Linked DNA regions of Drosophila melanogaster. The protein of the gene in region 1 interacts with the protein of each later gene in a pairwise test. Each region holds a gene or a part of one and is shown in the gene's direction. Other genes may lie near its edges.

The links.
Region 2: the proteins of slmo (region 1) and IntS10 interact in a two-hybrid assay, tested with the Drosophila melanogaster proteins (one large-scale study listed by BioGRID).

Annotation. Positions count from the first base shown.
Region 1 is NT_033779.5:6,046,150-6,050,608, reverse strand, and holds slmo (slowmo), read left to right. Parts: upstream 1-1,902; 5' UTR 1,903-1,965; coding exon of another isoform or gene 1,966-2,499; 5' UTR 2,500-2,828; coding exon of another isoform or gene 2,829-2,870; 5' UTR 2,871-2,908; coding exon 2,909-3,556; 3' UTR 3,557-3,958; downstream 3,959-4,459. Other genes in the region: IPIP (inositol phosphatase interacting protein), read right to left, coding at 261-535, 977-1,195, 1,263-1,598, 1,672-1,732; CG34179 (uncharacterized protein), read left to right, coding at 1,966-2,475, 2,829-2,870. UniProt on the Drosophila melanogaster protein: Required to regulate peristaltic movement and also for germline proliferation in males and females.
Region 2 is NT_037436.4:3,804,820-3,809,838, forward strand, and holds IntS10 (integrator 10), read left to right. Parts: upstream 1-1,890; 5' UTR 1,891-1,992; coding exon 1,993-2,192; intron 2,193-2,245; coding exon 2,246-3,290; intron 3,291-3,346; coding exon 3,347-3,997; 3' UTR 3,998-4,271; downstream 4,272-5,019. Other genes in the region: ntc (nutcracker), read right to left, coding at 1,002-1,140; CG32262 (uncharacterized protein), read right to left, coding at 4,457-5,019. UniProt on the Drosophila melanogaster protein: Component of the integrator complex, a multiprotein complex that terminates RNA polymerase II (Pol II) transcription in the promoter-proximal region of genes.

The DNA of each region.
Region 1 (4,459 bases):
ATCCATTTGAGTAATCCCAACATTATGTTTAACTTTAAAACCAACTTAGTCCTTCAATTCTAACAAATAACCTAAAAAACCCAATTATTAGTATGCCCACATAACTGAGTGCGCCATGATCGCCGAAATTTGTTATATCTAAAGTTTTGTTTATTGAAACAAACATGTATGGAAATTAAGCATAGTTCATTTGAAACGTATTTGATTTAGCACAAAACGGGTAATACATTGGCTTTTTGTCGGAGCAGCCCACTCCTACATCACAACTGGATGAGCGGCTGACCCTGGCGCTCGCGGTAAGCGGACACATCCGGCATCAGTTCCCTGCGAAAGCGCTCGTGGTTGCGTGCGAACTCCTCCAGTGCTTTGACCTGGCGACGCTGGCGCTCAGCACCGTTGACGGTGCTGTGATTATTGTTGGCCGCTCCCGGATCCCGGACATCGGGATAGAAGACGCTGTTCGCGATGGCAGGAGCGGGCGTGGGACGGCGCTGGGCCCTGGGCGTTCCGCTGGGGCTTCCGTTTCCGTTTGCGTCTGCAAGTAGAAAGTGCCTGTAGCCTGGCTTTGGGAATATGCAACAGATTTTGCAGAGAATGTCGCTTAGTGGCATTCCGCTGACTAAATTAGATCGGCTCTGGGTAAATGGCAACGATAAGCTGGCAATCGAAGTTCGGATTATACTGAGAGCACTCTGCTCTTATCTCTAGCTTCTACTAACGGTAGACTCACATTGTATTGGGACAAACAAACAGCTGGCTTTGGGGCCGAAAAATGCCGTATGATTGTATTTAGGCAAAGTTGTAGTTCTGCGGTTATCTATTGGCCAAGTTTCCCACTTAAAATTAGCTTTTAAAACTCAAAGCCCCGAACATGGTGATTCATTTCGTCTTTCAATTTGGTCACTTCCGTTCAGTTAATTTTTGCATTACTATACCCACAGCATTGTACATCCATTTTAAGAGTACGTGTTCATACCTTGCTTGCTCATTAGCTTCTCCTGCTGCAGGCGCGCGTTGCTCGATCCGAAGTATCCGTTGATAAATGGCAGGGGCGACATGACTACTCCGCCCCTCAGCGAACTGTCTGGTGGAGGAGGAGCGGGTCTGTTGAATGGATTTGTCCGCCTGGGCGGCGGTCTAGGCTTCGCACTCTCCGATGCATTTTGTGGTCCGTCCAAGGCGCTGCCGAGCATCTCTGTAGGTTAAAGAACGCAGCGGATTAGTGCACAGGGATTGTAGGATTAGCCATTGTGCAGTCTCACTGTTTCTTGCGTCCTCCATCTCTTGCAACTGGCGTTTTAGCTCGGCCAGGATGATGCGCTTATACTCGTAGCCGGCGCATGTTAGCGCCTTCATCCACGTCTCCATGCTGTCTTGGTTTTCGGCGGCGAGGATGTAGGTGCGATTGCCGTTGAAGGCGATCTCGAAGCAGTAGTTGTCCACCTCGTTAGACAGCTCAATGGTGCAGCCCTCGACAATGATGAGGCCCAAGGGCTCCTTGTCCAAGCGCGACTCGAAGTAGAAGAGCAGGTTGCCTTTCAGCACGAAGTAGCGTCGCTGGAAGGCCTTGTTGACCTCGCCCCGTTTGTTGAGGAAGCCTGCAAGGCGTATCGGTGTGTGATAAATGGATTATGATTATTAATAGACGAGCGAAAGGGCTCGCTTGCATACCTTCCATGTCGAAGGGCGGCGTTCTCGCGAACACGTACAGGTTCTTCTCGTTGATCTTCATGGCTGCACTGTCTCGGGCTGCATTCGAAGCAAATATGGGTGTCCTATTTCCGCCTTTCGTCTCTTATTATTGTGATGAACAGGTAAAAAAAATGCAAAGCGAGAAACAATTGACGCTGCGCGAACAGCTGATGGCCAGTGCTGCCACACCTCCACCGGTTATCGATTGCTGGGTGCGGAATTTCTAGTTTTCAATGTAGATTGCAAACATAAACGAATTTTGAATCCTGCGAAATGTCGTACTTACTCACGGAAATCGCGCTGGAGATGCTGGGCTACAAGTTCTACGACACCAATGGCACATTCCACCTGACCAATTTTCAAAACAACTCCACGCTCAGCGAAACGCATCCCGATGAGCCCTCCCTGCAGGAATTCATTGAGTACACAAATGAGGAGCTGAAGCAAGACGCGCAACAGCAGGAGCCGCACACGCTGGCGGTGCAGGAGGAGTCGTACCTGGATGCCCCCACCATACCCGAGTCACGCTATGCGCGGCGCACGCCGGCCAAGGCGCTGGCCAAGATAATGGACTACGAGAGCGAGAAGATAGTCAACCAGATCAGCACTCGTCTGGAGGGCTCGGTGTCACGTCGGGCGGCGGCGGACAGTGACGAGCAGCTGGCCGAGATCATCAACGAGGAGAGGAAACTAATCGAGGCGGATGCCGAGGTAATACACAACTTTCGGGAGCTCGTGGAGAGCCGACTACAGCGATTGGATAAACGGCCCTACGAGAAATACGTACGTACCTTCGGGCCGCAATAGGAAGCTGCACGTGCAATGTCAAAGTGCCGCCATTACTTTTAGAATTAATTTAGTTTATAAATTTAATAAATAAGTTACCGCTACAGGGTGCCTGCGGCACTTTCATTTTCTCTTACTGCGCCAGTGTGACCACCCTAGCCCATGCACTGGCCAGCGATAGCCCCATCTATCGGAGCCACTGTCATCTCTAGCAGCACAGCACGAGTAAAGGTCAGCTCTCGTAACTTGTCTCGGAAATATTCAATAATTCCGAGATTGCCGTCAAAATTCGAGTCGTGTACTTCAGCTAACGCTCCCCCTGTTTAATTCCGTTCCGTCTGCCCCCGCAGGCTCAGCTCAGCCCGCATCTCGGCTGCCAATTAAGGATATAAAGCCCTCCCCGGACGGTGACGACAACGGCGCTTGCATAATGAAAATCTGGACATCGGAGCACATATTCAACCACCCGTGGGAGACGGTCACGCAGGCGGCGTGGCGCAAGTACCCCAATCCGATGACGCCCTCCATCATTGGCACGGACGTGGTCGAGCGCCGTGTGGTGGACGGCGTCCTGCACACGCATCGCCTGGTGCAGTCCAAGTGGTACTTCCCCAAGTGGACGCACGCGCTGATCGGCACGGCCAAAACTTGTTTCGCCAGCGAACGCTCCACGGTGGACCCGGAGCGCAAACAGATGGTGCTGAAGACAAACAACCTCACCTTCTGCCGCAACATCAGCGTGGACGAGGTGCTCTACTATGAGCCGCATCCGTCGGATGCCAGCAAGACGCTGCTCAAGCAGGAGGCCACCGTGACCGTCTTTGGTGTGCCGCTGTCCCACTACATGGAGGACCTGCTCACCTCGACCATTAGCACAAATGCCGGCAAGGGACGCCAGGGCCTGGAGTGGGTGATCGGGCTGATCAACACGGAGGTCAAGGGCATCGCTCGCGGCACCGACGAACTTCTGCACAACACACGGCGCTCCATCGACGAGGTGACGGAGAGCGCGCGGAAGAGCATGGACGAGATCAGTGCGCAGGCCGCCAAGGCGGCGAAGGCGATGCACATTACGTAGGTGTCGACAAGGCGACAGTGCAAGGTCGCGCGGGGGCTGTTCACTAGTGAATTATTTAGATGGCGCGCGGTCGTCGTTTTAGTACAACTAATTAATCGATGGCACGATGGACATGGACAGCAACATGTGGGACAGCAACACCTTCCTCTATTCTCAAGCCATTCAATGCATATATTTTATAATTATTACTCCCCTTCGAACGAATCGACTGCTAATGAGTCATGTCGATAAAGAAGTGCCCCCGAATGGCTGAACTGGAAGGAACTCGCGCTAATGCTGGCCCCCATTCATGCAGATCAATATATATATAAACCTAAAGTACATAGTCAATGTAAGCTTTGTAAGCCGCCGCAGATTTCGAAGAACGAGAGGAGCAATTAAACGACATATTTGCCTACGACCAGCCAGTGTCAAGTTCAATTGTTTAATTTTAATTCGCAGCACACTTGTACTGCGTCTTTTTTTTTTGCATTTGCATGACGTTCGCATGTGCAACTGCAGCAATTTTAAGCATTCTGTGTATAAATAAAACCCAAGAAAGTCGATTTGTGGGTTTTTTCTCTACATACATACTTGATTAGCGATTTTTGGCGTCTGTTTTATTCGCTTATCATCAAAAGCCCACGTGCCTAGTGGCTCAACAACTGTGTACCTAGTTAGCATCGCAGACATGGAAACTGATATGTCCCTTATCTGGTTCAACAGTTGCGAAGAATGTGATTGAAGGGGAAAGTGGGTGCTTGGAAACAAGTTGATGATCAAACAGCAGGTGTTCTAGGGACAAGGTGAAATACTTTTACCTAACTTATCAAAAGAAGTAACTTATTTATTTAGCAGTTTTCGTAAGCTTTTAATCAAAATAAACAAGTAATCCTTACGAATTACAATTAAACTATTTGGTTC
Region 2 (5,019 bases), on another chromosome or scaffold:
GTGAAATTGTCTGTGCTGTTGGTTGGTTAGGAGAAGATTGAAAATTGCAGAAACAAACCTGCTATGTGCGGATTTCGGAAGCAACAACTCAAACCGGTAGTTATATACAATACATTTTGACACTACAAAATATAGAACACAGAAGTAAACTCAAAACTCCCGTTAAGACTTTAAGACTGATGTAGAACTTTAAATAAATTAAGTAAATTAACACTTGCATTCAAAAACAAATCACGAAAGAAATTGTAAATAAAATTATGTCTAACACGACATAAATATTTAATTCACTACTCAATTTGCTTTAAAATAAATTGTAAAATTAATCAAACTTAGAATTATTTTGTGTTTACATAATATATTTGATAAGACACTAGGTTAAACAAGTTGGAACTGAACAATTAAAACGGCTATTATTACAATAAATATAACGTCACATTTTTGAAGCAATTTACAAAATAATCAAACAGGTTTTTCGGAATTTATGTTACTTTTATTCGAAGGGGTTAACTTGATGATTCATCGAAGAGAGTCGCCGATCTTGGAATGAAAGTCTAAGGAACTTCATTCAAGTTAAGTGATTCAAGGTATGAGTAAATAGATATGCATAATTCGTGGATGAAAAACACATTGCTCTATAAACTAACAATAGAAACAGGTACAAATAAATTTGTTAAAAAAATATCTATAGAATGAGCAGATTGTTATTAGCATAATGCATGAATTAGTGTACGTTGTCTTGTTTATCATGATTTATGAGTATCTATTGTTAAGTGATATGTATTAAATAATGATTTCTATTATAGATTATGAATAACTTCTAGATATCAGTGATACTCTCAACTAAATATTAATATATACAATAATCGTATTTTTTAAGATTATTTTACGATATAGAATATGATAAGATACTAATGAACGATTGTTATTTGCAGGCCATTTATCAATTACATAGAGCGCTCTTAAGTAAGTTAGTAAGTTTCTATAAATATTACACAACTTACCCTGATCAGGAGCTTTAATGTCCTTTGTGCCGACCACTTGTTGCTCATTTTGCTGCTGTTGCGGCTGTTGTTGTTGTTGTTCGCCCGATGTCGTGGGAATGGCTATAAAGCCCTCAATTTCGGATTTAGTGTCTGACATTTCAGATATTTACGTACGAATTTTCTGGGAAACGATTTGATTTAAACTTTCAATGCGACTGTCATTGTTTGTTTTCGGAATGACAATCAGAAAATGGGGCATACTGCGATTTGTGCACTCAATTTTTATATTTAGTGCTATATAGTGGGACTGATTAACAAAAGGAGGGAATCGCAATTATATTACTTCGTTGATAAGCTGTGGCACTTAAGATTTAAACATATTTACAACAAATTGCGAATGTACAAATATCCAACGATTCTTATTCACGCAACAAAAACAAAGCGCAACGACGCATCGGCAGGTATTTTCTAGAAAACTTGGTTTGTCACAGATATTACATAAGCAGTCGCAATTGCCAGGTTCGTATGTATTTTGCTTAATATAGTTTTCGATTTTGTAGCCGCAAAAATCACAGAAAATTGAAAAATTCGCGAAAAAACAATTGGTTATTTAGCGAATAATCAGCTGGCTGGCAGCTACTATGCAACACTACTGCCGCTGCTGTTATCGATTGCAGATGAGGAGAGAGTCGCTTGTTAAGCTAGCTATATTCAAGCTGAAAATTAAATATCTTCGAATTCACCGAACATATATTGATATAAAAAGCGTTTTAGGTTGAAATGACTCAATAACGCCAGCCCTAATGTAACTAAAACAAGCGCACTATGCTAAACAAGCGTTTTGAAAATAATTGAAATCTCTAGCTAGTTTCTAGATCCAATAGTTCCCATCCCTAATAGAAAAATATGGCCAGTGCTAGTAAATAAATTCCTAATAGCCGGCTAAATGGTTTGTTTTTGTTGAAACTAGGAGAAAATTAATAAAAACAAAAGATATACCCGAAGAAACATGCCGAGCCAAGAGGAAAATGAGTTGTACATGGTCAAGGAGGCGCAAAGACTCCGGAAAAGCGATCCTTGCGCGGCCATGGCCTGGATTATCACAGCTAAAACTTTATATCCCAATGCATTCAACCTGCAATACGAGGCTTATCTACTGGAACGCGATGCTCAGAATTATGAGGAGGCAGCAAAGTGTTTCAGTGCTATGTGAGTATACAATAGCACATCTATTCCAGTTACTTTATCTTTTACTGTTCCAGAGCCACCAATTTCCAGAATCAACATACGGAGCTGTGGCAGGAGATCAACTCCCTAACAAATGCCCTCAGAAATGAGAATGAAACTACGCCGGAACACGAGTTCTATGTAAAAATGTACAAGCACCTAACTCCGGAAGTACAGCACAACATATTCATGCACACCATCAACCACAGTGCCGATAATCTGGAGCGCATCTATATCTACATACTGATGTTCAACAAGTTTCCCAAATCAGCCATAACTCAGGCTCCCAGGCTACTGGAAATGCTGGCGGAGGGCATGAAAACCGAACCGGATCTCTATCAGCGGATTCTGGTGGAGGAGGTATTGCCCATGATCCAGAATAAGCCCCCGGAACTTTCGCCAAATCTGGCCTGCAGACTTTATACCAGTTCCTTGGAGTTTTATTTGCGGCAAATAATGGATGAATCGGATACAGCAGATGCCTGGAAGAACATCTTTAAAGTGCTGATGATCTGCGGTCAGATGATGGGCTGGGAGCCCTTCCTGCCCTTCAGCAAGCATGTCAACCAGAACGTCTACTGGGAAAAGCTGGTGGACATACTTTCCGGCAGTCCTGCGGGCAGCTCCCAGGTTTTGTTCTACGCCACCACCTTGTTCATTTACTCCCTTCATGGTTATATACGAAATTGTAAGCTGAGGATCGAGGATGCCGATGTAACTCATGTTTTGGTAGAAGGATTCATGGAATGGTCGCCGGAAGGTGATGGCTCCGAAGTGCCCAGCATGGAGCCACCGAAATTCTCCCTGACCACGGCCATAAGTCCAGAGTTATCCAAGGCCTTCCTACACGCCGCCCAGTGCTGGCAGCTGCTCAATACGGATCAGTTCCAAAGGGATTTCAGTCAACTTATGCTGGCTCTTCCCTTGGCGCCTTGGATCTCAAGATTCCTCTTCGACTTGGCCATATATTTCGGACACCGGGATGAGGCCAACAAGCTTATGGCGGACATGACCACCCAGAGCAGTCTGGTGCAAAGCCTGCAGATCTTGAGCCTTAATCTAATGCAAGGCAGCATGACGGTAAGTAGAGAGCCAGTTTTTTCACATGGGTAAACCTTAATGAATTTCTCACACAGCTCCAGGGCTTCCAGTGCATTTTAAAGATCCTGTCAGAACTCCCCACCACCCAGGGTCAACTTTTGGAGAATATGTCGCTGAAGGGCCACAGGCACATGGTTTTTCTGCCCCTCACTCGATCAGCGTTGGTTCAGTACTGCGTGGGAGCCATCATCAGCAGACTGAGTCGCAAGGTCTTCGAACCGAACGTTCCAGATCGATTGCTAGGGGATATCCTAGTGCTGCAGCAACTTAATCTACTCAACGATGTTCTGCTCACTCAACAGATATTTAACCTGATCAAGCAACGGAAATCGTTCAATCTGCGCACCCTATCCACCTACATTATTAATATCGATTTGCTCGAGGAACTCTCGCACATTTGGAACTCCCAGCAGGAGGATAACTTTGAGTTGACCAGCTCGCCAAATTCGAGTGGCACACCTACTGCGACCACTGTAGCTGGTGGTTCCCAAAGCCGAAGAATTGGCACCCGTGGAGCGGACAAAGGAGCCCGAGATGAATTCAGGGCGATAACACGCCAGCAGATTGCCCGCTGCAATGAGAACGTGATCACTTTGCTTGCGAATTTCATTAACCAAGAACACTTGATGCTGGCGCAGCACATCTTTGGAATCAGTCAGCCCGTGGAGACGATTGTGATTAAGTGAAATAACTAGGAGGTAACATTTATAAAATATCTATTTTCCAGCTATCTTACACATTGTGTGTTTGGTTAATACATACGACTATTATATTTAAGTTCACCAGTCTAGACTGGTGTATTTCGCTTATCGAATAAACAAATATTTATTTTATCAGCTGATAACATAGTTAGAGGTTGCATTTGATATGTTTCGATTTAGTCATACGCATAATTTAAAACTTCATGTAGTTTTAATTTAATTTGGGTATAATAAATATAATTGATCGACTAACAATAACTTAAAATGATTCATCTTATTTCTTGGTTAAGCATTTATGTTAAAGGACCAGTTGTGTACTAAACATGCATATTTATTGGTATTAAGAGCCTCTTATTTACATAATAACCCTCGTGTTCACAATAACTAAATAATTTGGTTTCTTGTCGATATCACACCTATTCCGCGATTCCTATTCGTTCTGTCTTAAACGGCTTTTTGGGCATCGGGACTCGTCGTTGAACTCTGAGGCAATAGGTTCTGCTCGGAGGACGCAACTAACTTCTCCTCCAGTGGGAGGTGAACGCCGAAATCGTGCTTCATGTAGGACATGAGCACATTGTAAACAGCCGTGCACACATTGACGAACGTCACCCGGTATTTGGTGTCTAAATAGCGAAAGTTCAGGTACTGCGCCGCCGGCCAGGTCATCCAATCCAGCATGTAAACATACGGGAACTTGGAGATCAGCTCCTGATTGGTGGCGTCCAGGGTCTGGCGCTCCAGATAGCAAAGCGAATAGAAGAATATGACGATGCAGGCGGGCGACATGACCAGCTGGTCAATCAGGATCTTCTTGAAGATGTTCTTTAGCGTACGAGCCGGCATTACCCTGTCCATCCAGTTGTACACGTAGTGGTGAAGAGGTCCCTGCAGCGCGCCAGCCACAAACATCCGGTACATGCGATCCGTATCGAAGCGGTCCTGGTGCCGCAATCCACGCCTGTACTCGTACTCCTGGGCTATCACATCGCCCACGACCATCAGCA